Linked DNA regions of Xenopus tropicalis. The protein of the gene in region 1 interacts with the protein of each later gene in a pairwise test. Links are inferred from orthologs where the notes say so. Each region holds a gene or a part of one and is shown in the gene's direction. Other genes may lie near its edges.

Region 1 (4,523 bases):
CCTATGTGTTCTTCTCAATAGCAGCCCCTGGTTTGAACTTTGGTTTATTGTCATCGACTCAGTCTGCTGTTCCTTCCACTGCTTCTACTCCAGCTGCCTCGCAGTCGGTAGCACCAACACCTGGGCTTAGCCTTACATCATTGGGCAAACCAGCAGACCCATCTGCAGGTAACTACTGCCCACTGGCAGTTTCACATTGACCTTTTAGCTCTGTCTTAATTCAAAAAGGTTATTTTACACATAGGTCTTATCTTCAGGTATATGCATATTTGTGTTTATTTATTTTCTGTAACTATTAAAATACTTACAAAAAATAAAACCCAAGTAACCTTATATTCTTGAGTTTTGTAAACAAAATGGCAGTTAAGTTACCCTTATAGGTAAAGCCCCAAACTATCAGGTAAGGCTATACAGAATTCAAATCCTAGTGTGCTTAAAACGTCCTCCCTAAATTCCTCATCTCTGCTGAGATCAACTCCCCAAAGATAGTAAAATAGGTCACTGTGTAAACCATGTTCCAATGTTGCAGCAATATAGAATGAGACTGTTTATACAGTAAAGATATCTTTAAAAGAGGTGGGGTGGGGTTAAGCACACCAGAATGACAATTGTGTATCACTAACTGTCTTTCCTTGTTGTCTTGAAAATGTGTTTAATTGAAAATGAAGACTAACTTCATAGTGTCTTAGAATTCCATTATCTACACCATACTAAAAGTTATTTTTTAGGTAAACTAACTGTTAAAGTGAGTGTTAAGTAAGTTTTGTCCGAAAGGGCTATGTAAATACAGCCATAACCACTTACAGAACTGGTGCTTTGGGTCTTCAGTGAAACGAAACACCACATTTCTTTTTTTATATATATATATATATATTATATATATATATAATATATGGTCTTCTGTGTCAGACTTCCTGCTCTCAGAAAAATCAGTTTGTTCCTCCCTCCCTTCTCCTTCTCCCCCTCCTTTCTTTGCTGTGTAATCTGAGCTTAGAGCTGTTCCAGGAGCAGTGTGCAGGTACAGAAGTGAAGTCAGACCAAGTTAAAATGGCTGCTGCTGTCTTAAACAAGCAGAGAGAGCTTTTATAGCTGTTTACTTAGGTATGGTAAAGCATTCTGCAGAATAAATATAGCATTCTGACTAATCTATTGGCAATAAAATGCCTTTTCTTCTCTTTTGAAGTTTTACATTTATTTTTTTTCTGTAAAATGTACTTTCTTCTAAGTTTTGCCTTTTATATAACAGTTGTAACTCTTATGTTTAAATTGATACAGCAATGGTATCCACAGGAACCGCCACAACAGCCACACCTTCCCTTTCTTCCCTTCTGGGGACATCTGGGCCCTCTCTCTTCTCTTCTTTGGCTACTTCAACTGCTGCAGCTGTTGTGACGACAACAACAACAGCAGCAGCAAGTGGACTGTCATGTAAGTTCTCATTTTCATTTTTAAACATAGTACTGTTCAATATAAATAATCAGTACTGAGTTACCAACGTGATTCACCAGTTTTTTTGTGAGCTGCTGGTTAAAATACAACAGAAGTTGTTTTTTATGTTATTTTTGTGTGGTCTATTAAAGTGTGGTAAGTGTTAAAAAAGAGACAAATTAGGGCTACTTCATAAGCACTTTCTCATTATGAGTTATGGTTAAAAAGTAGGCAGTTTCTCCCTACTCATGTCTGTTTTTTGTGTTTTACACTATCTTCTGTGTGGATAGTTATTTGAAAAAGAGCTTTCCCATAAACTATTTTACTTATTTTTGTTAAGAGATGCCCTAATCTGCTAGCTATATAGTTTATTTTTTGTCATACTTGTGATCCTTTGTGTTTCTTTTAATCTGATTCCTGCTTATGCCAAGGGCCTCAGTGCATAGCTTTGTATTCAGTAAAGTGAGATGCATATCTCTTATTAGTGAGTTCGACTACAGCAGGCACGGGTTTTGGAATGAAGATTTTGCCAAGCAGTGCTGCACCAACAGGAACATTGCCTACCAGCAGTAAGTATAAAGTGGGAAGTTTAGCATAGCAATAATTTCTGTAGTTCTGTGTTAAACACTTTTTTCACGGGATCATAATGTAATTTTAAGTTTACTCTTATATGAGTGAACAACAGAGCCTTGAGAACAGATGTTTTTGGTGATTGTAATGCAGGGTTTTGCAATATTGCAATTTTCTGCCTTACTATGCTCTTTTCCACCTTATTGTAATTGTGTGTAAATAATGGAAATTGTGCACTATTACATCCTTTTTCCTTGCTTTGCACTTTCTTGCCCTACAATACACTGTTTTGCCATATTGAGCATTTTGAGCAATAATTAAGATAAGCAGTGTGGGTCATGTGTATTGTATACGCAGTATACTGAGGAAGCGCACTGGCACAATACTCATTAGGAGCTCAGTGACCATGGAGCACTGTGGTACCTCTCTCCTTTGCATGAAGTTATGGTTGTTTTATGTGCAAAATAAAAGTTTGCATGTGTGATACTGCCTATGTTTGTAGGCACTTGTTCGCAATAAATTATTAGACTGATCAGCCGAATAAACCAAATCTTTAGTCCAATGCTATGGCTTTTCTTTAGGAAAATAGATTATAGTATAGTTGAAGTCTTTCTTCATGCATAAAATAGTTGCTGGTTCTCATCTAGAGACTTCTGTCCTTATTTTCAGCAGCCTCTCTTGGTATGAGAACTCCACTTTCTGGAACCACAGTTCAGGCTAATGTTGTCAGTTCTGCTGCAGCTGCAGGAGTCGGGTAAGAGGTGTCACAAATGATACCATTATCAGCATAGCAGTCATTAATTTTATTTCTCTGGTTGACTGATATTTTGATTTGTGTTTTTCCACATAATGGTTTGTCTTTTTAGTACTGCTGCAACAATGACTTATGCTCAGCTAGAAAATCTGATTAATAAGTGGAGTTTGGAATTGGAAGATCAAGAAAAACACTTTCTGCAACAAGCAACTCAGGTCAACGCATGGGACAGAACTCTTATGCAGAATGGAGAACGGGTGAGAAATCTGAGAAAAAAACACTTGTGTGGCTTAGTGTAAACAGTTTTTGTGTGTGTGCAATAATGTTTTCACAGGCAGAATTTATTTTTATTTATTTTTTTGTCTGATTTCAGATCACCACTTTACACAGAGAAATGGAAAAAGTTAAACTGGACCAGAAAAGGTATGAGTAGGAAGTAAAACGGCAAAAACATAGAAAATTTGACCAAGATGAATGATGTTTGGTTGATTGATTGAATATATGTAAGAAAGGCACACCTGAGCTGAAAATCAAATGTTTTAAATGTACAATATTGCATAAACCTATTAAATAATAGTTGGTTCTATTTTTAATGTTCTCATTTATAGAAATAGATTGAGTTTTTCATAGCAAAAAAAAAAAAGTAGGAAATATAAAACATGAGTAGTTGGGAATCACAATCCATGCAATTCAAAGTGAAAAGGGGACAGGGGGTGGGATGTTAGGAAAGGAGAGGGAGGATCAGTAACAACACTTGCATCAATGCTGGAGCCCTGTCAATCTTTGAACGCATATGCAAACTTGGTGTAACTAGATAGGGGACTTCTGGTGCCTCATCTTAAGAAGCAGTGCTGAAAGTTTGGGTTTTGTAAAGATAAAAATCCCAAAGTTGTAGTGGGCAAAAGTAGTTTCCTGTTCCTTCCACGTGGCAGTGGGTACCAAAGGTTTAATCTCCCCTGCCATGAAGAAGGTACAGGAAATTAAAACATATTAAAAGTACTTCCCCTTTCCAATGCACCTATTTATTTTTTCCTATCAAGACACCCTTTAAATACCAGCAGAGTAGCTCTCCTCTTGCTGAAGCTCCTGGGGCTGATTCATCTAAAAAGATTTATGCCTTTGCTGATCAAGATGTCCATCATTGGGTATTGGTATTGTCCTTAGTCAGTTGACATGGTTGCATAGGGAAGGGGAAGTCCTTTTTATATGTTGTCATTTTCTGTATATTTCATAGTAACATAGTAAGTTAGATTGAAAAAAAGATGTATGTCCATCACGTTCAATCATCTTCCTCACAGCAGGCACAAGAACAAGTATGTGAACAGATTGAAAAAGCAATGTTTAAAGTAATGTAAAATCCACAAACAAAAACAATTCAATAGAAAGTAAAATCTTGTTTTTGCTGTGTGTATTTTCATTTTCTGTCTGGCTGTGTAGAAATATATGGTGATTAAACAGGTACACCTGCATGCTAAGCTTGCTCTTTGGAAGCTATTGGGTCTGTTTCACCCTCTCTACTCTTCTATCAGGTTGGATCAGGAACTGGACTTCATCTTGTCACAGCAAAAAGAACTGGAGGACCTTCTGACTCCTCTGGAGGAATCTGTGAAAGAGCAGAGCGGAACCATTTACCTCCAGCATGCAGATGAAGAGAGAGAGAAAACGTGAGCCAGTATTATAATGTAATAACTAAGAAGTATAAGATACAAGGAGATCTGGGTTTGTGATTATACTCAAGTAGGCTTTGGTTATGAGAAAGGGAAGGCATGGT
Region 2 (5,290 bases), on another chromosome or scaffold:
TGCCTTCCCCTGCCATCCCACCGGCGAACATGTAAGTCGCCGGCGAGATGGCACACGCGGCGGCGCGATTACCCTTTGAGTCAAGGCACTCAAGTTATTGTTGTTTCCAATGGCGTTTTTGGAGAGGTAGACAAATTCCGGGCGCTGGGCCTGCGTTTAAAACATGTTATGTTGTGACATTTACAAACATAGATTCATAAGGGGACACTTCTCTAGAAAAGGATCCATTCATATTATACATTTCAATATTTGCTTCAATATACAAACATTAAATAAAGCGGGTGTTTCTTGCCCACTATGGGAATGTTGGGTATTTTTGTGAAAGCAATGCTGGAGTTGCATTTGCAAGAACTCCAAAGTACAGGGCAAGTGTAAAAAAGTAAAAAAGAAATGTATTAAGAATTGTGCCTACACAGCTTAATGCTGTGTAGGCACTAAAAGTGTTATAGGAGCTTATTGGAGCCTATGATTAAGTGTAAAGTAGGCAGGAAATGTATGAGGCCTTCTATAAACATGTTATTTTTTAAAACGTTTTTATACTTGGCCGGTAAGTTGGAGTTTTTGGAAGTGCAAGCCCAGCATTGTTTTTACCGTGATCTTCCTTTATTAACTAAAGGTTTGGGGTTTGGCACCCACTGGTGAGCTCTTTCTTTTCTGAATCAAACTTGGGAATTTGACTACTTATTTGTGATGAGCGAATCTGTCCCATTTCGCTACTTCCAAAAATTTGCGGAACTGCTGAAAAATTCATGAAACACTGAAAAATTTGCAAAATACATTGAAGTCAATAGGTGACTTTTTTACGCGCAACAAATTTTTACAGACATTTTTCACTGCCCATTTTTTCTCATTCCAGTCACTGGGCATTTTTTTGTGGCATTTTTTTTTGAGAAATAAATTTGCCAATGGCAAAAGAGGATGTGAGGAACCAGGAACTTAATATGTGGTGTCCAAAGGTCACATTGAATAATATGCCATTTAGAGTCATAAATCCTGTAATATAAACTGGTTCACTCAAAAATTCTGGTAAATGTAAAAAGCTTAGGATTCCTTAGACACCCCACAGCCTGTGTGTTAATCAGACATGATCAAGCACAAAATAATAAAATAGTCTGGAATTTAAAAAGGCTAAAAATTGTTCTTCACTTGCCTTCTTACTTTGCAACATGAATTATACATATATATACGGCATGTTTTATAACATTACATAAACCAGATTCTGTATATGGCTCTGTGTTTAATGGCGTGCTGAATCAATGGCACGCCAATCTTGCATTCGCTTATAGCTTCAATTTACTCTTCTGCTGCTATTAGAAACAATTCTGTTACCTAGAAAGCCAGGATAGTTCTGGAACACAATTATCCAGGTTTCAATTATGGAAATACAGTGATGAAGATTAGCCTTTATTTATACTCTTTACACAGGAGGTAGGGATTTTATGCAGGTGCTAATGAAGTGCTGAAATCCATTGATTTGGTTGTACATCTCCATTTAATTTTATTGAAATTGTGTTAAATGCAGGAAACATCGCATTTCACCCTGAGAAAGGAAGGGAATGATAATACTACAAAAGAGCTCCATGGATCTTTAAATATGATGTAATAATAATGCAGGGTGATGATGTAACATACTATTGAATGCACAGAAAGTTGAAATGAAAAAAATAAAATTCAGGTCAGTGGATGACTGTATATAAAAGATTTTCATTTTTTGTTGCTACTGGCCCTAAAGGTTGTGTTTTCAGTAGGTAGAGAAGGTATATGCTCTGAGAAGCAAAAATCCCGGCCACCTTTTCTCTATCTCTTGCCCATTTAAAGAAGAGACCTCAGTCTTTCTACATTATTTTAACCGGCTTGTTTATATTGATGTATTTCTATGGCCTTTCTATGTTGTTCAGAGAACATTCTTCATGTGGCAATTTACCAACTGTTGCTGCAGACAGAACAAAACAAGTGCTGATGAGCAGTGGAAATATAGAGAACAGAACCTGTGTTTGCTATTTGCTTTGCTCTTTATTTTAGTCAGCAAATTGTTTCACACTGAATTCCAGGAGAAAGGGGCCAGGGAAATGTCACTGATTGCCCAGTAAAAAAAAATCAACCGAGTTGGTCTGACCAGAAAAAGGAAAGGTCCACAGAGCAAAGTGCGGAGAAATATGTATAAATCTAGCTACCGGCACGAAGTGCGCAAGGATAAATATGAAAGAAGCGACGCTTTTGATGAGCAAAAATTAGTAGACTTTGGCAACCTTGGCTTGACACAGGTTCAAGGACTAGAAAACCTGCATGAACTAAATGAAAGGTTTGCTAACTACATTAACAGAGCTAGGGTACTGGAGCAAAGAAATGGCATCTTTAGGAAGCAGCTGGAGACCTTCCAGAGAATGGATGAAATCTCTGGCCTGGAAGAAGCATTCGAAGAACAGATAGAACTGAACCAACAGAGAATCAGGGAGCTAGCTTCTGATCGGTCCCGTCTCGAAAGGGAGTACAAAGATGCCCAGAGGATGGTGGAAGAATTTAAAAACAAGTAAGCGATGTGTTGCCCTTCCCATTGCCATGAATGCTTTGCTTTGGTTATTATAGGAAAACGTGTTCAGCTCAGTATATTTCATTACTAGGTAATGATGATAGAGAAGCCAGTAAGTTCTCATAGATGTATTACCCTGCATATTTCAGAATAGTTGTATATATTATGCCTATATACATGCTACACTTTAACACTTTCTTAACAAATATGAATACAGGTATCGGACCCATTATCCAGAATGCTCAGGACCAAGGGTATTCCGGATAAGGGGTCTTTCTGTAATTTGGATTTCCATACCTTAAGTCTACTAAAGAATCAAGAAAACATTAATTAAACCACATGGGATTGTTTTGCATCCAATAAGGATTATTTATATCTTAGTTGGGATCAATTACAAGGTACTGTTTTATTACAACAGAGAAAAAAAAAGAAAAAAAAAAAGAAAATCCATTTTAAAATTCTGAATTTTTTGATTAAAATGGAGTCTATGGGAGACGGGCATTCCTTAATTCGGAGCTTTCTGGATAACGGGTTTCCGAATAAGGGATCCCATACCTGTACTATGTTCTTTTTTTATTTTACATATTCTCAGATATTATTTATATATCTGACTCTCTTGCTCTCTTCAAGGGTTGTAAATCATGGCAGCTACATGATATAATAAAGCTTTCTATTTTTGGACTGTCTGTTCCCCTGACTACTACACAAATCCCCTCTCAAAACAATGTAAGCAGGCTGCTGTTTAAAATCTTCCTTTTATTGGGATAAGCAATTGTTACTCCATCACATAAAATTCTGTAGAAGACAGGAAAGGATAAAGAATTTCAGCAAAAACATTTGTTGACTACATGTCCCATAATACACATTGAGGGCATCACAAAGAAGGGCAAAAACCTTGAAATGTTGGCATTTTTCAACTAATGGAGCATCCAAAATAACTGAAAACCTCTAATACCATAAAACAACATGACCTCAACAGCTGTTACATGGCAAAGTTTTGTATCAGTGTTTTTTGTGGTTTTGACATTTAATATATCATGAAAAAATTGTGTTTTTTATCACCAAAAATTCCCACAAATTGTGGGAAAAAAAATAAAATTCTACCTGCCTCTCAAGGGGCTGGGGTTTTGGATTTAACAATTTATTTTCAGTGCTGGAACAATTCATTCCAACCCAGAAAATAATTGGGCTTTTCTTTCTCTCTGAATGTGATACTCATCAGGTAGTCAGAATCTGCTGCACTGTGCACTGTCCCATAGGAAATTATTGTGTTGGCGCAGTGGGACTCATTCTAACAGCAATGACACCATTATCAGCTTCGATATATGAGTCAGGTCATTAAAAGTTTTGATAAATTAAAAAGATTGAAGGTCTTGAAATCTCTTGATTTCCAGGTTCAGTCTTTGATAATTCAGCCCGGTAAGCAAAAATCCATAACCCCAGGGTATGGAAAGAGCTTAGCGCTGTGGTTACTGAAGGTATAGGGGATGTATAGTCAAAAATCATAATCCTTGTGTGTGAAATTTATACCAAATGAAATACATTTACAATATAAAATCATTAAAATTCTTTGTATTTTGCATCTTATGCTATTCCCCTAAATCTGATCACAGCTCCTAGAAACCTACAGGGCTAGTGGCCATCCTGATGTGAAAAAAGCAGGGCACTGCTCTGTATCAGACGTGAAAAAAAAAACAAAAACTGTGACCGTCCTATACCAGACTTGAAAAAAAAACACAGGCATTTATTTACTGGATTGTCATTGGTCAGTTGCTGATAAGGCACAGATAAGGAGGTGAGTTGCACTTCAGGCACAGATAAGGAGGTGAAACATGAGCAGAGAGTGCTCTTTTAATTGTGGTTATTTGAATGTCCTGGGATAGAATGAATAAGGCATGAAGGTGATGAATAATTTAAAGGAGATATGAGTTTTTTGAAACAGTGTGGCAACACAAGTAAATTGAGAATTGTTCCACTTATCATGGGTTAAAAACAAAACGGATGCCATTGCTTGGCTTTGCTTGGCATACAGTATATGATGAAGAGGTAGAGGAGGGAATACACAGTGGGACTTTAATTTATCAGCTCTAAGATGCATTTGGCTCCCTTAGTGCTGCTGAGTTAAAAAAAATACATGAGCATCCGTGGGTCCCTCTTCCAATAAGGATGGTTTCAGTAAATATTCATATCATGAAAAAGTTATTGCCAAAGGTGCCATAGAACTGATTCTTATATGTCTCATATTTGGTAGCATGTTATTTGTAGCAGCATTCTGTGAGGGAAACAGACTATAAGTCCATTTAGACATACAGGGTATATTTATCATGCTGTGTGAAAAGTGGAGTGAAGCATTACCGGTGATGTTGCCCAGGGCAACCAATCAGCAATTAGATTTCAACAGTTAGAAAACCAAAGCAAAGCATCTGATTGGCTGCCATTAGCAACATCACCAGTAATGTTTTACTCCACTTTTTACACAGCATGATAAATGATTATTATGTGTTTTGCTATTGGTTTTGCTGTGGGTACTAATGTAGCAAACCCACCCCTACCGACCTATATGTAACAATTTTACAGATAATTAGACTTGAGTTACTATATTTTGGGCTTTAGCAAGAGCCCAATTCAGTTTAGATTGAATTGTTCCACAGCAGCTCCTCTTCTTTCTTTTGCTCATTCACCACACATGCTCTGAGCTGCTGGCTGTTATATGAGAATAAGGGGCCAATAGTGTACAGTATATTTAGAATCTAAAATTCA
Region 3 (5,196 bases), about 77 Mb from region 1:
AGTTTGGGATTCAGCAGAATCCGTCAGGGCAGGTTCAGGGGTTCGGTCGAAACCCATAAAAGCGGATTCGGTGCATCCCTAGTTACAACTGTTACTTTTTACACTTCCTCAGTACAGGTATGGGACCCATTATCCAGAATGCTCAGGACCTGGGGTTTTCTGGATAAGGGATCTTTCCATAAGTTGGATCTCCATACCTTAAGTCCAATGAAAAATAATTTAAACATTATTAAATACAATAGGATTGTTTTGCCCCCAATAAGGATTAATTATATCTTAGTTGGGACCAAGTACAAGGTACTGTTTTATTGTTACAGAGAAAAAGGAAATAAATTTTAAAAATCAAAATTATTTGCTTATAAAAAGGAGTCTATGGGAGATGGCCTTTCCGTAATCCGGAACTTTCTGGATAATGGGTTTCCGGATAAAGGATCCCATACCTGCACTACTGATCAACAGCACTATTAACAGAAAACTGCGCTTAGCAGTCTGCTGAGAATACGCTACATACGCACTGAATACGGTGCAGGCACATGTAGTCAATATCCACCAAAAATGCAAAGTCTCACGTTTTCTGGCGGATATCAGCTACATGTGCCTGCACCTGAGTGTATTCAATGCATTCGGATGCAGGCACAGGTAGAAGGATGTTTAAGTGTATGTAGTATATCCTTGGCAAGCGGTTTTCGACTTGCGGAAAATACGCTACATACACTACGTGTGACATTAGCCTAAATGTTGTGACCTTAAGGGTGAAGACACACGGAGCTCCTAATAGAAGCTCATTTTCATGGCTACTAAAATTGACAATGCTGATCATTTATTGATAATTGTCTCTATGTGTGTGCAGAGGCAATGCTCAGTATTGTCTAAGGCAGCATATTTTCTGGAATTAAACAGCTGTTAAAAAGAAGCTGCTACTAGAAGCTCTGTGCGTCTTCACCCTTACTTCACCTTTAAATTAGCTTTTTATTTCTTTAGGGTTTTTCAGTTATTTAGCTTTTTGTCAAGCAGCCCTCCATTTATTTTAGTAGCTATATGGTTGCTAGGGCTTATTTACCCTAGCAACTAGGCAGTGGTTTAAACAAGAGATGGGAATATGAATAGCAGAGGGCCCACACAGAAAGATAAGTAATAAAAAGTAACAATAATAATAAACCTGTAGCCCCCCCAGCATACACAGCATAGGCCCCCCCCATAGGTCAAGTAATGTAAAAGTGTGATTGGTGGCTAAAGATCCCTCCCATGTCAGGAGTAAGGCCCCATATTGCCCTGTGAGAGGGAACAATAACAGGAAACTGGTTAGTAACTGGCCAATCCAGATTGCATCTCTCTGCTACATTGCCCATGTTTACCTTGAGGTTAGCTTTGAGTCCCGCTGTCTTTGCCAGCTTTTGCAGTTCCGAGTACCTCAGACCCTCCAGTTGGGATAAAGTCGGCGCTTCCATAGTCACAACGTTGCGATTCCTGTGTATACACGGGCTCCAACTGCATACAACAAAACTGACGTTTAGGCGCGTAGGAAGAACTAACGGCTTGCTTTCAAAACTCAGCTTCTCGGCTCCATCATTGGCCAGTGGCGTGTCATTTCTAGCCAATGAACGCTCAGCTGAGTAAACATACCCTCCCACACAACTTGTACGTCCAGTTTCTATTGGATGGCGCTGGCGTAACCATGTGTTCGATTGGCTGGGAATAAAAGCTTCAAATCCAGCTGTTTCACTTTGAGAGCTATGTTTTATTGCAATACGAACATAGCAGCTACACGTTTGACACGATACTTTTAAAACATTACCTACATATTCCCCAGCATCCCACTGCAGATTGCGACGATGGGACTAGTATTATTTTTCAGTCACAGACCTGAAGGGAGGGCTTCTTGATTGGCGTTCTCAGTGACCCAATCGGAGGCTAGTAGTTGGCCAATCAGAGTGCGACTTTGACAAACTATAAAGTTCCAAAAGCATGGCGGGGAGCGCTTGGTTATTGTGTAGTGCTGCGGAAATGCAGTCTGTTTGCGGGGAAAGCACGGTGGACTTGGAGCAGACAAACCCAGAGGTGTCATGTCGGAAGTTAAATGGCAGTTCGGGCGGGCCTGAGGCGTGTGTGGTATTCCTGTGTAAGAACTGCTACACGGTGCTGGGGGACTCGCTCAGTGTGTGTGGGGAGGAGAGGAGCTTGGCTGCCATCGCCTGCCTGCGTGAGTCCTAAGCGGCCTTAGGCTTGGTCAGTTTAAATGCAAGTATCTTATTGGTTGTGCGGGTTAGTACGTCTGCCCAGGGCCTTTTATTACATGAGAAGGCAGGAAGAACAGAGCTGTACATTGTTTATAAACTGATATAGTTGCCTTCCTTTTTTTTTCTTTTTTCTTTTTCTCCACTTGCCAATAATATAGCTGTGGTGTTAAGGGCTGACCTAGAGAGGGCGCCATTCACAGGTGTTTAAAAGGCAACAAAACCTGAAGCAGATTCTGCTTTATAAAAGCCAAGGCAACATGTGCTGTAGAAGTGGGTACCCTGCCATTGCTGCCTCCCCACCCCTGCAAAGGGAATCTTGCACCCTCATTTGCCATGGTCACTCTTGTCAAGTCTTCTTCCCCAACACTCTACCCTTTGCCTACTTTTTTTTTTTTTTTTTAGCAGAGCTTGGGAAACAGCAATGGAAAGGGTTGGGAATGAAAAACCATCAGGGATCCAAAATAGGCCCAGGCATTTCAGATACACAGAGGCCCAAACAGCCCCCACCAGCCCAATAAATAGTGAGTGACTATGGCATCTTACAGCAGCCCCTCTGGCATTTGCCAGAATCCACAGATAGCCAGTCTGGGCCTGCAAACCCCGAAGTAGACTCAACAAAGATATGCTGCTGTGTTGTAGTAAAGTCTTAGGGACACATTTACTAATCCACGAATCCGAATCACGAATGGGGAAAAAAATCGTATTGGAAACGAAAATTTCGTAAGATCGCAAATATCACGAAAATGCTTACAAAAAATCATATTAGTCACGATAATATCGTATTGGCGATCCGAAAGTCACGAAATTTTCGTACCGAACAATTGTAAACAGCGGTAAAACCTTTCCGAAAAAGTCGTGCGGACGCCCCAAAAAATCGGCGAAAATATGCTCGGAGTGTTCGCATGAACGCTCGAGCGTTCGTGCTTTTGTAAATGTGCCCCTTAGAGTGCTGTCAAGTGTGTTTTTTGTATTTTTTTTTCATTTTCTTAATATGGTTTTATTGATTTTGGGTAACAAAGGGGTGGGAGGGGTAACTGCATCTTACATGTTGTATTCATTCAAAGTTATACATTGTATCAAAACTTAAATAAAAAGGGGGAAGGTGGATGTCCCTCTAGCGAGCTAGGTTATAGATTGTTTGTAGAAGTCCGATTCTTTGAAAGATAGCCAGTGATACTAAGCTATAGGTGTTGTAGTGTTGTGGAGAGGAAAGAGAGTTCTTCAAATTTATGTATTTCTTCAATTTTCTTATACCAGTCTTGCAGCGTCGGGGTTGCAATTTGTTTCCATATTTGCGGTATTAATAATTTGGGCGAGTTTAGTAGGTGCGGTTCGAGCGAATTTTTAAAAGTAGACAGTTCCATATGAAATAGCAAAACATATTCAGGAGCATTTGATATTTCAATATTAAAGATATGGTATATTGCTTTCCCAGAAAGGTTGAATAAGTGGACACGTCCAAAATGTGTAGCAATGAGCCTTTTCCTTTGTTGCATCTCCAGCGTCAGGTGTTTTTTAACCCACTTGGGTGCCTAATTGCCACAGATAAGAAGCCACCTTTTGATTTGGGCTTTGACAGGCTATCCCTTAATGCTGTCAGTTTGCAGTTGGTCTGTGTGGATCATTTTTCTGCAACTGGTGGACGGGGTATCGGCAAATGCAAAAGAGCCCAGACTAGAGGTAGGTGAATAGGTACCTGCCTAGCACCCCCACTGTTGTGCCCTAGGCAGGTGCCTATTCTGCCCACCTCTAATTCCAGCCCTGCCCTCCTGCAAAGTCTAGTAAACTGCTGACTGTCTAGAATGGCCAAGTTTTTTTTTTTTTTTTTTAACCTTTTTCTGTATGACCACCTTTAGGGCGAAGACACATGGAGCTACTTGGCTATTAAATGCCAGAAATACCCTGCCAGAGGCAATAATGAGAATTGCCTCTGCTAAACACACTTAGAGACAATTATCCATAAATGGTCAGCATTGTCTATTTTTGTAGCCCTGACACGTAGCTGCTACTAGTAGCTCCATGTGTCTTTACCCTTTGAGAAAAGGAGCAGCTCATCCTGCAGAGGTTATTATGGGGACGACTTTCAGTTTTTGCCTGGTAAATGCAAGAACTAACCTTCACACAATCCCTGTTCAATCAGCTAATGCTGAAAAATCGGGTTATACTGCTTTAATTCCCTTTTCTGTAAACTGCATGCATCAGGGGAACATTGACCAATAGTGTTTAAAGGTATTTTACAACATACTGTTGCTATGCACTGGAAAAGTTTTTTGCTTCAGAGACTAATATAGTTATATAAATAAGCTGTTGTGTAGAAGTGGGAGCTGGAAAAGGATCAGGTTATATAGCTGATAAGCTCTGTAGAATATAATGGTGTTCTACAGCATCTCTTATCTACTATGTAAACTTTGCCATTTAGGGCTCTGGCACACGGAGTGTAGTCGCCCGAGACAAATCTCCCTTGTTGCGGGCGACTAAACTCCCCAATATTACATCCCACTGGCGAAAATGTAAATCGCCGGTCGGATGGCATACGCGGTGCCGCTATTTACATTTTCGCCAATGGGATGTCATATCGGGGAGATTTGTCGCGGGTGACTAATCTCCCCGTGTACCAGAGCCCTTAGCCTTAACTACTTGGGATGACTGAAAGAATTATCTGGGGAAATAGCCTCCGACTCGCTATACGTGCCCAGATAGTCAGGCTGTATTGTTTGAACTAAAGCAAACAATCCATCTAGATTTGGGTATGTATTACCAGCTTTAAAGGCAAGTTGCGCTTGTGGGCTTGACAGCCCTCATTTAACCTTGAGCCTGCTTTCCAAATTTCTTTGAGATATGGAAATTGAAATGGACATGGCTACAATGTATCCTATATGTACTGAACATAATCATACTTTTTTTTTTTTTTTTTTTAGGAGTCACAGAAGATTTGAATGTAGGAGAATCAGTACTTTTT
Region 4 (5,102 bases), on another chromosome or scaffold:
TAAAAAACTAGGAAATAAAAATGAATATAAACTGCAAAAGTGCTTAGGAGACAAGTTCAAGCTCCTGGGTTAAATTCCAACCAGGGAACTAACTGCAAGGAGCTTGTATACCCTGCCTGTGTCTGCATGGATTTCCACACTCCAGACAATATACATACAGGTGGGTTAATTGGCACCTGATAATATTGATCCTAGTATCTAAATCTGGGCACACACTCAGCGGCATTACAACACATTGCCGGGCGTATCTTGGAGGGGCTTGTGTGTACCAAAGCCTACACGCCGCCCCCTTTAACACACACATGTTCATTTGCATGTGTGCGTCTGCTTGCTGCACATCTATACCGAGTGCAGTGGTGTATTTATAATAAGGCATCTGAGGGCATCTGGGTTCTGCAAAAGTGATGTCACGCACACACTGCCGCCACATTGGTGCAGTTGACGTCACATGCACAATGAAGGGTACTATTTAGGTCCAGTGCCTAGGACAACACTGGACCTAAATACACCCCTGAGCGAGCACACACATTTTCAGACCCCACAATCCGGGCCCGGACCCTGTTCCCTGGGCTCCCCCGCAACTGCGGGTTCTGCTTCCTCTATAGTTACGCCACTGCAACCACTGCTAAATCTGCTAGTTTGGTGAAGTCAGCAAATGATGGGATCTAGACCCAATTTGACCATGTTGGGCCAAATAGTGCTGATCTGATTTTTGCCCTAGAGGGGCCCACCGGAAAACCTTGGGCTCACTCTCCAAACTATTTTTCCTCCTTTCCTCACTCAACCACTTTATTCTCCAAGTTTCTTTTATTTACATGCTAGCATCTATCCTTCCATCTATTTTTCCTCTTTGTTCCTATTCAGAAATTGGGAATGACCATGAAGTAGGCCAAATGGTCAGGAGCAGGAGGGCCCACTGACGCCTGGGCCCACCGGGAGTTTTCCTGGTATCCTGGTGGGCCAGTCCAACACTGGTCAGGGATGCCACATACATGGGCCAGTAAGCTGCCTTAAGGCCAGCTCAGAAATGCTTAGCTGATGTTCAGTTTAAATATATATTGGAGAAAAGTACCTCAAGTTATGGGGGGGGGGGGGGTAACCTAGTGACATTTAGTTATACTTATGCCCTTTCTGCAAGCCTAACACTGAGACAGACTGAACCATGGAAGTGAGGTGAAGTCAGCACAGGACAGACAGGCTCTGGCACCTAAGGCAGCCAAATAGTGGGGTATATTATATAAGGACATATTTATAAGGGGAAAATATTTCAAATATGCTACTAAAAGGTAAAATTTAATAAATATGCACTTGTGTCACTGCTGTGCTTTGGTACAAGAAATTCTGCTTTTATCTGTGGCATAGATATCAGGAAGTGATTTCCACATGTTATTTCATGGGCAACAAATTGTCTTCAGATTTTAGGCTAGGGATAGCCAATATGTGTCCCAAAAGCTTTTGTTGAGCTATATAAGCCTTCAGGCCAGTGTGAGATTTACTAGTAATGGGGTGTGGGGGTAACCAAGTTACTCCTGGTAACTGCCATACATTGAGCTTATGGTGGCATTACACTTGTGCTCTTCAATTCCTCTCAGAGGATGCTGGGAGCTGTAGTTTAGGAATAACTGGGACGCTGTGTGACAGACCCCACATTCTTGCGCATTGAAGTCTCTTTGTGGATGGAAATTTTTACATAAAGATATGGTTCATGGCCCCCCCAAAACCATAACCCACTTTCCAGCTTTGGATATAGAGTATCCCTCCCTCGTCACTTCTCTGCAGATTTATAAACAATTAATTCAGCGCTCATGGTGCAAAGTGTCCCTATTTTAGCGGTCTCCCCATGTCCCATTAAAGCCCCCCTCCCCCTTATTCATATCCTGCAACCAGACACACAGTAGGGACACAGTAATCGCACAGGGCCTCGCCCCTTACAGCTTGACGGACAACTCATTAACCAATCGCGCGAAGCTCCTCCGGACCTTCACCAATCCGGAGCTTGCAAGGGAGGGTAAAGGGTGGCACCGGAGCCAGCAGTACTGGTTGAGCTGTGCAGGTAGGTGCAAACTGAGGGGTGCTTGGGGTGTGGGGTTCATGCACCAGGTGGCAGTGGGAGTGGGGGTAGAGCACCCCTGGGCATCCAGAGGAGGCTGGGCAGAGATGGAACAGCCCATTGCAAGAGTTGGGGATGAAGGGGGCTGTGAGGAATTCTCCAGTATTCTCTAGCAGTCAGCAGGCCAGATACACTAGATACTGGAACTTTATAGGATCAGCTGTGGGGGGAGCACAGCCCCAGTGCACACTACCACACTGTGCCACACATGCAGGGCAGACACTACTTATACTATATATGTTCACTCATACTAAATACATACAGGGGAGAACATACAAATACCACTGTCTACCAGAGTCCACCCTATTAAAAATTTCCACAAAATAAAAAAAAAAAAAAACTAAATCAGATAGCGTGAGTGAAAAAATATGACTATTTGTGATCCTAGATATCAATGGATGATGCAGAGGAACCCCCCAAACTGGCCTTTGGCAGACAATGCTACAAGGATGCCTCCGAGGAACAGCCGGGATGAGGCAACAAGGATCCATGGATCAAATGAAAATCGGTACAGTCTGATAATATGGTGAGTAAGCGCCATGCTTTTATAATGTGAGTCTTTAATAGCACTGAAAGGACAGGACAGGTCCTACAGAAATTCCTTTATCTCCATTTATTCTGGGGTTACAGTAAAAGAGTGGTAACCATAAAAATGAAATGAAACACATATAAATCTTATATAATTAGTGATAATTTTAATGCAAACTGCAATGACTTCTAAGCAGCATACAGTGTGCCTCTAAATGATGATAGCGGATGTCCGGTATTAAAATGTGCAAGCAAATGTGAGGCCATGGACCTCTGACGGAGGTAGGCGAGATGGCAGGCATTTTGTTACCCTCTGTCACTTTTCCACTGGAAGGCAGTGGCACACAGAATCCTTGTCCTGTGCCATTAGCCTAAATATCTGTAGTGGGAAAAGAAATGGGTAGCAATCCAGTGCACATTGCTAAGGCTGCACATCCAGACTGGGTGCCCATGGCTGAAGGGAACAGTAACTTTCTTGAAGTAAACACGACCCACAGCTTTGCCTTACTAATGCTGCTCCTTGCCTTACAGCTCACCAGCATTGCTCTTTTCTTTCTTGGGGTCTGGATGAACTTATTTATCTCGACTTCTCATAAGGAGGTCTGGAATGGGATATAAAATAGGCCATGGCATATCATGTACAGAGAGGCCAAAAAATCCCAATAAATAGTGACTGTCTATGGCAGGGGTGTCAAACTCAATCACATAAGGGGGCCAAAATCTAAAACACAGGCTAAGCTGCGGGCTGAATTTTTTATTAAGATACTTAATCTTACTAAAGGATAGATCCTTCCTCACCCTGAAACACCATATCACACGCCATCTTCGTGCATTAATTATGTTTTGAAAATAACAGCAGTTCAGGCCGCATGCCTTGTGTTTGACACGTGGTCTATGGCATCTTATACCAGCCCCTCTGGCATTTGCCAGAATCTGTAGACTGCGAGTCCGGGCCTGCTCATAGGACATGGGTCACATCAGACAAGTGGATTAGTTAGGGGATGGTGAGATAGCAGTCAGGGTTAGTGGTTCATGTCTTGGAAAATCCATGGTAGGGATGGTCTATGGGTAAAGCCAGATGGTTGAATATTACAAGAAACATCCCTTAGACCCTGTTCCTCACTGTTACCATTTGTGAGTGTGGGAGTCCTCATTGCTGACCATAGTCGATAGGGATCATTGACAACACAGCCTATCACTGGAAATGGTAATGCCCTGGGGCCTTTTACTAGATGCTTCTCCCAGCTGCTTTAACATTAGAGCTTGGTCTGCCTCTGCAGCCTGCTTAATTTGTGAGGAGCATGTAATTTTAAAAACGTAGTCCATATACTATTAAAAAAATATGGGGCAGCACCTGGCCATTCTACCTTTAATTATCCTATTTCCTCTGCAATTATGCTTTTCTTTGTTCCCTTTTTATTTTTTTAATTCAGTTGCCAGCTTCTTTCATGATATCCCACAGCCAATTCCATGTGTAATACCCCAGAACACATAGCAACAAAAATGCTGTGGAAATTTAATTTAAAATACATCTTAGATTACCTTGCAGGATTACCTGTAATGTCTGTTTCACATAAAATATCACAGAAACATAGTAGGATAAATGCATTGCCAATTCCATTTATAATGCCCTCAGAACTTATGCCTGTTCCATATATAATGCCCCCAAAACACATGCCAGATCCATATATTTAGCCCCCAGAACACATGCCAAATCCATATATATAATGCCTCCAGAAAAAATGTAATATAATACAGTCTCAGTTTCATGCATAATAATCCCACAACACATGTGAGGACAAGAGGATTGGTTATCAGGGAATATGAAGTGGGTCATTACCTAGGGAATCTAAAAATTATGGAGGATGAGGAGGATGATTTATGAATTAGGAGAGGAATTTTATTATGGGCAAGAATTTGTAAGTGTCAGTGATCCAGCTATTCTGTAATTGCAGATCTCAAAATGTAACAATTAGCTGAGCTTGCAATGCATGTTGAGAGTTGTAGTCGTGTCACAGTGGCAGAAGCACTCTACCCCTAATGTAGGACAGTGGTCAGGATTAGAAGGAGAGGTGTGACAGTAGGAAGCAAACAATAATAAAATTTAGATGTAAGAAAGACAACCCTCTCAAGGTCTATTTAATTTACTTGAGACTCCTTGAGATAACTTCAATTTATTACAAACAATTTATTATAAACAGAAGTACAATTTGTTATATTAATGAACTAGTGTTTATTATTGCAGCCCCCTGGTCTTATTCATAGCACTTACTATAGCACTTGTCACTTGAATAAGACTAGGGGCTGCAATAATAAATACTAGTGCATTAATATAACAAACTGTTCTAGTATTCTGTATGGAGAAGAAAATTGAAGTGATCTCAAAAGGTGTCTTTTTTTTTTTTCCTCTAAAAAAATAAATTGATTAGACCTTTGAGAGGGTTGTCTTTTTTCCTTAATTTCA
Region 5 (5,069 bases), on another chromosome or scaffold:
CCCCTGCTCCCCGCAGCACTCGCCTGCTCCTTCTGTGTCCGGCTAATGGTGCACGCTCATAGGGGCCAGCTCAGATGGTAGGGGAGCATGCCTGCTTGTGTCACTGAAGAGAGACATGCGCATGCGCCGCCTAGTGTCCTGGGTTATAGGGTCTGTGCAGGAGCGATGCATTATGGGAATCCTCTTTACCCAGCTCGGCGTTTTTTTTTCACGTTTGGCTTCTGATCATCTGAACGATTGCAATATGGGGAGACTTGAGGGCACTATTGAGACAACTGAAGGTAAGCCTGCAGCTTGAGATTAACTCTTTGGTAGCCTTTACTTCTCCTTTAAGTACTTTGGTCCTTGTAGCAATCAGTAGAAAGCTTCCTGGGCTTTGCATAGCTGTTGTCATGGCTGTGTGGGACCAGAGGTGACCCGATTCAGCACAGCCCATAGCCCAGCACCTGTCCCCGGCCCGGTGGTTGGGAACCCCTGATTTAAAGCACATAGAGGCCCAAGCAACCCTGCACCAGCCCAATATATAGTGACTTTCTGTAGGGCTAGAAATGGGTCTGGCAGAAGAGGCATGTGCCCAGGGTACAATGTAACCTGTCACTAGTCTGGGCTCTTGTCCTCCCACTTCCCACTCGTCATTTACCTCCCCAGTAGTCAACATGCATGCATGCATGCAAAGGGGTGAGGTGGCTGGCTGGGTTGCCTAGGATGCCCAGCCGACTTGGCCCAGCACAAACTGTCCATGGCCATAGGCCTCTGCAAAAAGAGGCAAGGAAGGCCACTTGCCCCCCCCCCCCCTAGAATTCTACACACCTGACCCAGATCGGTGTTGAAATGTAACATATTGCCCAGCTTGTCCTTGGTTTTTCTCAGCTACCTGCTCCTTGAGAAAAGAATTAAACAATAAAACTGTAGCTTCACAGAGCAATAGTTTTTTTGTCTCAGGTGTCAGTGATCCCCTTTTAAAAGCTGCAAAGAGAACAAGATGGCAAATACTGTAATTCAAAAACTATGGAAACAAATAATAAAGACTTAAGAATATATAATTGAAAAGTTTAATAGAATTGGCCTTTATATAACAAACTAAAAGTGAAATAAAAGGTGAGCCATCACTTTAAACAGCCCCCTGGTTCTACACTTATTAGTTGCGAGCAGCGTTACAGGCTTTGCTAATAAACCTAATACGTACGTAAAACACAGTTTGCTTTTTACTTAATGACTCTTCCTCCCCGCAGTTTTTGCGGACACCCATGTCTATGACAAATACGTACAAAGGTTCTTCTAGCCTGGAATAAAAAACTGACCAAAACCAACTCCGATATCGCGCTACTTTATTACACTACTGGATGTAAACTACATCAATTCCACTTCCACGTTAGCGATAATAGGCATAAAGAGTCCCTTGACTTTGCGGTTGAACTTGGTAAACCTAATAAAGTTATAGGGCAACAAAAGAAACTTATCCCTGCAGAATGAGCTAAAGCCCAAGTACATGACAGCTCCACACTTCAACGTTACACATAATAGAACGCTGAACCTTATTACGCAACCTGGCTGCAACAAACTTTATTGTTGGTTACGCCCCCTCAGGCCATGTGACCCGCACGTTGTGTGGCGTTGGCACGCCGCGTCCCTATTTGCTAGCTGCGCGAGTGGAGGACGCTATGGCTGGCGTGGGCCGGGTGTTTTGCTCCTTATGGAGAAAATGTGGGGTGCACGAGTTTCGGGTGCCTTGTGCTTCTTATCATAAGAAGGTATGCAGCGCTGTGCGTGGGGCGTACGGGGCCAATACGGAACAGGGTAGTGTGGGAGCAGGAAACGAGTGTTACATAAGGTGACACAGGTGTCACAGTGACAGCGCTCGCCTCGCAGCCCATACTATAAAGTACTTATTGCCAATGCAAGCCGACACGTTTATCTTTTAACACCGTAACCATCTTTACAGAGGACTACAACATGAGTCGTTTTAATTCTTAATAGAAGGCTGTCAGCTTCGGTTGTGGTGAAATACAGTAACAGCAGCCAGTGGGGTTGTCAGCTTCACTTCCCCGAATGGCTTGAGAGAAAAGGTGTCTCAAGAGAGAAGCCGAGTTAGCAACTGATAGGAATTGACAATGACTGACTCTAGCACTCTGAGGGTATAGGGAATATGGTAAAACTTTATGCTAAGTAAGACATGTTTGCCATAAGAGATACTGACATCAAAAATGTATTCTTTTTTTTTTTACTTCTGTCATACCATAGGCTTTGCATGCTATTGATTAATTTGCCAGAAAAGTATTCATCATGCTGTCCGTTAGAATTACAAGCTATAACTGACTGGCTAAGAAGGGACAGTCAGGTTGGTAAAACTGGTTTAGGACTTCAAGTAACAATTACTCACAAATGCAGCTCTTTCGGTAAAAAACGAGCAACATGACCTATAGGCAACTTTTCGTGGACATTTGTATTTTGAAGAGTAGTTTTTTAGTGTCAGTATCAAATGTACATATATAAATATAATTCACTGCACCACTACGGTAGCTGAAGTGTTTCAAGGTTATGAGGGGACATTTACGGGAGAATTCAGGAAAAGGAAATATTGTGGTTGTGATGCCAAATTCTCAGACTTATTTTTCTGCCCCTATAGACAGTTTTGCAAAAAATATCATTAAAAGTATGCATGGCTATCTTTCTGTCAATACCTGTTGTGAGTTTCTCATACAAGGCACTTTTGGCAAGCAAAAACACATTTGTCAAAAACAAATTATACATCTCTAAATTACTTTTTGTTTTCATTAAGAATTTGTGCCACTTTATTTCCTTTGGCTGCTTTCCTGTGTCAACAACACATACAATTTGGATTGTGGCATGATAGCTAATCTTCATCTTGGGGGTGGTCAGTTTCATTCCTTCGCTGCTAGTTGATTGGCAGACCTGACATTATATTTAACTACATCTTTCCTGGATGAGGGCAATCCTGTGATTTGGTAAAGACCAAAACACCCATATTCACTGGCACCGGTATTTAGTAAAAGTTAAAAGTATTTAAAACAATTTAGAGATATATGACTTTTAAAATGCTCTGATGGTTAATACGACAGCACATAGTATAGATAGGGATTTTGCCATTCTTTTGAATGGGAATGAAGTATGGGTCAGGATAGGTGTTTTGACCTTTGTAACTCTCCTTGAAAGAACTAAAGCACTGTGATGCCTGTGCTATAGATATTACAGATGTTTGTTGTTTACAAGATAAAATCTGATGCAAGTGTTTACAGGGGCTCAGCATTCATTGCCTTCCATTAAATTTGCAGCTTATATACTAACTGAGCAAATGGCAATTTTACACAAAAACTTTTGTACCAAAGTTAAGGTACATAAGCTACCAAATAAGGACTGTGTTTAGTTATTTGGTAGCCCCTATGTGAACTGGCAGACTACAGGAGGCTCTGTTTGGCAGTGCACATAGTTTTTATGCAAAAAAAAAAACAAAACTTGTCTGTAAGCCAGAAATTAAAAAAATAAACCCCTGCTTTGAGGCCACTGGGAGCAACATCCAAGGGATCGGTGAGCAACATGTTGTTCTCGAGCCACTGGTTGGGAGTCACTGCCCTAACCCATATAGGCCTAGATCTAACTAATTATATGCAGTGCTCCCTAAAACAGGGTTAAATCTAGCATTTCAATAAAAGTGGTTTGGTGCTTATTTTACAGAAATGTAATGTTTGTATTCACGTTGTAAACAAGGCTGGCATAAAAATGTGGGTCAATATAGTGACAGAACATTTCACTATTAACAGCAGTATCTCTGTATGCTGAATAGTACCATTTGTACTCCATAGTTTTTCACAGCAAGCAATAAAAAAAAAAAAACATTGTACAGATTTTTTTTTTTTTTTTAAACTAATTCATTTTTGTTAGTAATAATTTAAAGGAGAACAAAAGTTATAATCACTGGTAGGTGCCAAAATGTTAGGAAGGAAGAGGATCGCTCACCTGCCTGTGTAACAGGAGCACCAGCCAGGGGTTTCACGTAAGTGATTACAATCACTGGTGCCTTGTGCCTAACATTTGACTCTCCTCAGTGATTTAGCCTTTCCTTCTCCTTTAATTAGACTTTTTCAGATTTTGTGGCCAAGCTTACGTTTGTGTAGGTTTCATTGTTCTCTGGCACTGTTCCCTGGCATCTGTAATAGATTTGCAACCATGTGTGACTTTTTGTTGCCACAAGATTAGCAGCAGAAGTAAACATCTTGTGACTTGTTCAGACCACAAGTTCTTTTTAATTTGTCACTTGTCACATAATCATAGAGGGCACAGAAGATGGCCAAGTAACCTTGGCCATATTTATACAGATTGCTGTGTTTCTGTCCCAGTGTAATTACAGGCCTCAGAATTATTTGCATTACACTCAAGAGCATATTTTTTAACTGTTTAAATTAACATCACCTCTAAGGACAAAGGAAATATTGTCTTCTTAATAGACTCTATAAGGACTAATGAAAGTCTATTAAGAGAAGATAAAACTGGAAATGACTACAAAATGTTGATGCATTAGCTATGACATCATGGGTTTTATATCAATACATCTATCTGTAGCAAAGTGTAAGCCGATGCTTCAAATGTGTGTTCTAAACAGACAGTTAAGAAAATTACCATTCTGCATGCAAAAATAACTGCTTGTTAAAGATGCTTGGTTGTTTTGTCTCAGCATTTAAATGGTGACTAAACCCCTGTACATATGTTTGTACTCAATGTGCATGATATAAACCTTCTGTTGTGCCCAAAGGTACATTTGCTGTATGACAACCTAGGTTCCCTCTCACTCTGATTAAACAAAATTTAAACAAAATTAGACTAGTGATACTAGTATACTGGCATGGGATTTCGTATCTGGAAACCCAATACCCAGAAAGTCTGCACACTCCATTTTAAGCAAATTGTAAAAAGGATTTTCTTTCTCTCAGTAGTAATAAAACAATGCCATGTACTTTACGGTAACTAAGCTGCATAAATCCATATTGGTCGCACAACATTGCTAGTGGGTTTATTGTTTAAAGTTTTTTAGTAGACTTAAAAAGGTTGTTCAC
Region 6 (4,523 bases), on another chromosome or scaffold:
CAGGTAGGCAGTGGGGCCTCTGGTGCAGCAACCCCGGTAGACCTTCCACACCTCAGTCCCACCCTGGGTTTAGGACTTGCAAGAGTGAGAGTTCTTCTGCCATGAATTTAATAATTTGTTGCCACAATCTTGGGATTACCTGAGTAATCCGGAATGGTCAGCCCTGCCCATAGGGTGTAGCTTCAATTGCATTAGGTACAACAACAACAACAACAAACATTTGTAAAGCGCTTTTCTCCCGTGGGACCCAAAGCGCATAAGCTTGTCTCAGATAAGTTATGTGGACATAAATGCCAGGCTAAACAGGTGGCTTTTCAGTTTTGATTTAAACGTGTCCAAGGTTGGAGCTGTCTTGATCCCGTTTGGCAAGGCGTTCCACAGGGTAGGGGCAGCATGACAGAAAGCTCTGGATCCAAAGGTTTTCAGTTGAACTCTAGGGATGGTCAGATTATTGGATCCATTTGATCTAAGATTGTGGGAGGTGTGACATAGTTGCAGCAAGTCCTCCAGGTATCCGGGGCCCAGGCCATGTAGGGATTTGAATGTTAGCATCCCAATTTTGAAAAGGATTCTCCATTTTATGGGTAGCCAGTGCAGTGAGCGAAGGATTGGTGTTATGTGGCAATGGCGGGGTTGGCTTGTTAGCAATCTTGCGGCAGCATTCTGTACCAGCTGCAGGCGGTGTAGGTCTTTATTTGGAAGGCCTGCATAGAGGGCATTGCAATAGTCCAGTCGTGATGAGATGAAGGCGTGAACTAGGGTTGGAAGAACCTCAGAAGGAATGAGGTGTTTCATTTTTGCAATATTCCTTAGGTGAAAGAAGGAATGTTTCACCACAGCTGAAATTTGGCTCCTGAAGTTTAATTCCCCATCAATTAGTAAACCCAAGCTGCGCACAGTGTTGGTCTCATGTATAATTTTGAATTGGATTAGTTTTCCCCTAGTACTGATAAGAGGGTAGTAGATATTGGTCCAGATTCAACTCAGTAGAAACAAATGGACAAGATTCAATTTGAGATGCAATTCAATTCAGAAAAACTTATCTCACAGTTTATCACGTCAAAACTCTTGAAATCTATGGGAAAAACTGGAACTGAATTATGAGAAAAGATTTTGCTTTTTCTCTGGAAAAATTAAAACAGTACCTTGTACTTGATTCCAACTAAGATATAATGAATCCTTATTGGAGGAAAAAAACAATTCTATTGGGTCTATTTAATGTTTACATTATTTTTTAGTAGAAGCAAGGTACAGAAATCCAAATTATAGAAAGATCCCTTATCCAGAAAACCCCACGTATTCTGGATAACAGGTGCCATACCTGTATAACAAATATTTGGATTCAATCACTATGACTTTATAATTGCTAGAGTACAGATACATTTAACAGATTATAAAAACAAACAGGAGAATGTTAAAAACCCAGGCCACCGTGGTTCCCAGTAAAACCGTTATCCCTGAGAACATTTTCATCAAATGAAATCAGTGATTCTCCTAAAAAAAGTTTATAACTTGGAAGTTGAGGCTACTGCTTTATTTTACAGCTTATTTATGAAATATAGAATTATCTTTTTACGTTTTAAATTCTGGACTGTGCTTATATATGGGCTATTACCATACAGGCAAGCAGCTGAGCAAATGCAGCTTCACAGGACTTGTGTTGTTATATAGCAAGAGGGCAGGGAGAGTACTTGCCAAGTTTTCCCTACAGTCTTGTATTAAACACTGGAAGAGAGCGTAAGGCTTCCTAAATGTAAAAAAGGGCTGAGCAGGTGCATAAGTAGAAGTTAGTGGACTTCAAAGAAGACCCGTGTTGCAAGCATATATAGAAGCAGCTATTGGTGTAATCATAGAGGAAGCAGACCCTATGTGGGGACCGTGGGGTCTAATTCCAAATACAAGTGTATTTATCTTATTTTTAGTTAGAGCCCATCTATTTCCATGACATATACATTACCCAAGTCACATAAATGGCTCACTTAGAAGCCCAATAATTCTTTACTGTTTCTCATCACCTCGGAAATACCAGAGGGTTGGTGAACTGTGCAGCAGGACAGAGAACAAAAAGTACCACATCTGAAGCCAAGCTCAGGCATTGCTTAAATAACATCATAGCAGTGCCAGTGTCTGACCCACTCATCCTGAATATAGGGTCTAAACTGTAAGTACATAGGATAGGTGAATGAATAGGCTGGCTGGATTTAAACAGTGGGCGACCCTAGCCTGCGCCATTTGTCGTTCTCTGCCCTCTCCTTTGCATTGAATGTGCACATCCACGTATGCGCAATAGATTTGTAATTATTATCCCATATTGGTAGAGTGCCAACAGTGATTTACATAGACATTCACATTAGTCCCTACCCTAGCATGCATGCATTGCAGGTTTACCTTCAGTTCTATAAAATCTGTCCCCCAAAACTGTTTTCTTCTTTTGTATAAAGTAGTAATTTGTTTACAGACATATTTCTATATAAATCCATTCTTCTGTCATCAGCATTGAAGAAAGTATTTGCAGAAAGTGATGAAGCTCAGACATTAGCCCAAGAGCAATTCATAATGCTCAACCTTATGGTAAGTGATTTTGCATAACAGTATGTACATCAATGTATAATGAATGTCAGACACTGTCTGTTAGGTGAGGCATATGTTTATATGTAAATGTGTTTGGACAATTAGCAATGCTAGACTATTTACATTCCCATAGAAATGAAGAACATGACACGAGGGTGTAACTTTGCACTCCTGGCATCCCAGCAAAGTACATTTCTGGGCCTCACCTCCAAGCAAAGCCTTAGCTACTGATAATCATACACTTACATAAGGAAGAACATATACAGCAACACACTCCCTACAATCTAGGACCCAAGAGAAAGCTTCTTGCTTCTGCCTTGTTGAATAAGGTACAAAGTACTAGGCTTACAGATCCATGGAATCCCTAGAATTGAGAAAATGTTAAGGTGGCCATACATGGGTAGATTTAAGTTGGAAATCCAACTCCATTATACTGATTTGGCAGCTTATCTGCCCGTGTATAGGCCCCCCCCAATGGGTTTCCATGATCGATATCAGGCAGGTGTCAATCGGGCAGGTTTGATTTTCCCGTCAGATGACCGCATCAGCTCATTGATGCAGTCCTTGGTCTGACAGCTCCTATGCTCTTCATTGCAATTCATTGGCCCTAGGGCCAAACAATCAAAGTAGCCCGATATTACCCACCTTCCCTTTACATGCTGCTTCTATACATATAACTTACACCTAATAATTTGCAGTTTTCAGCACTGGAACATTAGCCAGCAAAATGCAAACACAACTTGTAATTTACCAATGTACGGCTTACTCTACTCAGCAGTTGGTCAAAATTATGCTTGATTTCCATGAAAAATGTTTCAATGCAGTATCATACCTGAATTAGGGAATAAATTCTATGTCAGAGCCAGGCCAACACAAATGGGTACCCAAGGCAAGCCCCCAGGCCAATCCCACTCCCTCGGCAACTCCTCTCAAGAACAATATAAATGTTGCATTAAAAGATTTATCTGAATCTGACCTAGTCAATAGGTCAGATTCAATTTGATGAGAAAGCTAATCTCCTAATTCAATTGCAGATTTTCCCATAGAGCCAGATGTAATTCAGTGACAAAAACTTATCTCACTACTTATCCCATGGAAACTCTATTGATGTCAATGCAAAAAACTGGAACTGAATTAGGAGAAAAGTATTTTCTCCTTAGATAGAATCTCGCACATAAGGTTATTACATGATGCAGGATAAACTAGCATGTTGTCTTGGAGTTTAATCTGGCCCAATGTGTGCAGTTGTATAAGGTTTGCAAGGACACGGGGGGGGGGGGCAATGTCTTTTGGATCTTTTGGATTGCATTAATGTATACATATAAAGTTCATGCGCTTACATTTTCACATTTTTTATATTAGCATGAAACAACTGACAAAAACCTTTCCCCTGATGGACAGTATGTGCCTCGGATAATGTTTATTGGTAAGTAATAAAGGCATGGATGCTGTATATTTCTCTGAACTACTGTGGTTGCTTTTTCGCTGCAAACATTTTTGTATGCTAAATGCACAAGAGCCACAAATATCCTTTAAATTATATCCTTATAAGCAATGCTTAGTGATGTCTCCAGTTATAAATGATGCTCAGTGATGTAATTTGTGTCATATGACTCACTGACACTTGTGTGTTATAATAAATAATGTACCCCCTTTAGTAAAATGTGAGGATATTGGAAGTCACCTCGGAGTTACATCAACAAATGTCTTCATCTTTGTGTCTTTGGTCAGGTGGTAATGGAGCTCCTCTAAAAGCCCTATATTTTACAACAGGGGGGCACATTATTATGCACAGAAATGTCCAAATAGAAAGCACTCACAGATCAATTGGAAGAATACATTTAAATCCACTACACATCAACGCATTTAAATACTTAAGGGACTGTCCTCCTGATGACAGTTCCTTGAGAAATAAAACGCTATGATGTGTTGCACTATGTGGATTAAACTGT

The links.
Region 2: the proteins of nup62 (region 1) and bfsp1 interact in binary tests that used the Homo sapiens proteins (3 or more experiments, as listed by UniProt). The two-hybrid records come from large-scale screens. The link is inferred for Xenopus tropicalis from reciprocal best matches to the Homo sapiens genes NUP62 and BFSP1.
Region 3: the proteins of nup62 (region 1) and oip5 interact in binary tests that used the Homo sapiens proteins (3 or more experiments, as listed by UniProt). The two-hybrid records come from large-scale screens. The link is inferred for Xenopus tropicalis from reciprocal best matches to the Homo sapiens genes NUP62 and OIP5.
Region 4: the proteins of nup62 (region 1) and kansl1 interact in binary tests that used the Homo sapiens proteins (3 or more experiments, as listed by UniProt). The two-hybrid records come from large-scale screens. The link is inferred for Xenopus tropicalis from reciprocal best matches to the Homo sapiens genes NUP62 and KANSL1.
Region 5: the proteins of nup62 (region 1) and iscu interact in binary tests that used the Homo sapiens proteins (3 or more experiments, as listed by UniProt). The two-hybrid records come from large-scale screens. The link is inferred for Xenopus tropicalis from reciprocal best matches to the Homo sapiens genes NUP62 and ISCU.
Region 6: the proteins of nup62 (region 1) and agr3 interact in binary tests that used the Homo sapiens proteins (3 or more experiments, as listed by UniProt). The two-hybrid records come from large-scale screens. The link is inferred for Xenopus tropicalis from reciprocal best matches to the Homo sapiens genes NUP62 and AGR3.

What each region holds. Positions count from the first base shown.
Region 1 is NC_030684.2:38,697,804-38,702,326, forward strand, and holds part of nup62 (nucleoporin-62 C-terminal-like protein), read left to right. Parts: intron 1-21; coding exon 22-168; intron 169-1,275; coding exon 1,276-1,428; intron 1,429-1,913; coding exon 1,914-1,997; intron 1,998-2,667; coding exon 2,668-2,752; intron 2,753-2,864; coding exon 2,865-3,009; intron 3,010-3,125; coding exon 3,126-3,175; intron 3,176-4,281; coding exon 4,282-4,416; intron 4,417-4,523. UniProt on the Homo sapiens protein: Essential component of the nuclear pore complex. The N-terminal is probably involved in nucleocytoplasmic transport.
Region 2 is NC_030681.2:30,135,654-30,140,943, reverse strand, and holds the start of bfsp1 (filensin), read left to right. Parts: upstream 1-2,080; 5' UTR 2,081-2,156; coding exon 2,157-2,530; intron 2,531-5,290. UniProt on the Homo sapiens protein: Required for the correct formation of lens intermediate filaments as part of a complex composed of BFSP1, BFSP2 and CRYAA. Involved in altering the calcium regulation of MIP water permeability.
Region 3 is NC_030684.2:115,742,545-115,747,740, reverse strand, and holds the start of oip5 (protein Mis18-beta), read left to right. Parts: upstream 1-1,868; 5' UTR 1,869-1,965; coding exon 1,966-2,200; intron 2,201-5,155; coding exon 5,156-5,196. Other genes in the region: nusap1 (nucleolar and spindle-associated protein 1), read right to left, coding at 1,356-1,448. UniProt on the Homo sapiens protein: Required for recruitment of CENPA to centromeres and normal chromosome segregation during mitosis.
Region 4 is NC_030686.2:17,302,682-17,307,783, reverse strand, and holds the start of kansl1 (KAT8 regulatory NSL complex subunit 1), read left to right. Parts: upstream 1-2,021; 5' UTR 2,022-2,053; intron 2,054-2,498; 5' UTR 2,499-2,636; intron 2,637-5,102. UniProt on the Homo sapiens protein: Non-catalytic component of the NSL histone acetyltransferase complex, a multiprotein complex that mediates histone H4 acetylation at 'Lys-5'- and 'Lys-8' (H4K5ac and H4K8ac) at transcription start sites and promotes transcription initiation.
Region 5 is NC_030677.2:146,313,164-146,318,232, forward strand, and holds the start of iscu (iron-sulfur cluster assembly enzyme ISCU, mitochondrial), read left to right. Parts: upstream 1-1,632; 5' UTR 1,633-1,661; coding exon 1,662-1,751; intron 1,752-5,069.
Region 6 is NC_030682.2:37,463,271-37,467,793, reverse strand, and holds part of agr3 (anterior gradient protein 3), read left to right. Parts: intron 1-2,494; coding exon 2,495-2,571; intron 2,572-3,933; coding exon 3,934-3,997; intron 3,998-4,523. UniProt on the Homo sapiens protein: Required for calcium-mediated regulation of ciliary beat frequency and mucociliary clearance in the airway. Might be involved in the regulation of intracellular calcium in tracheal epithelial cells.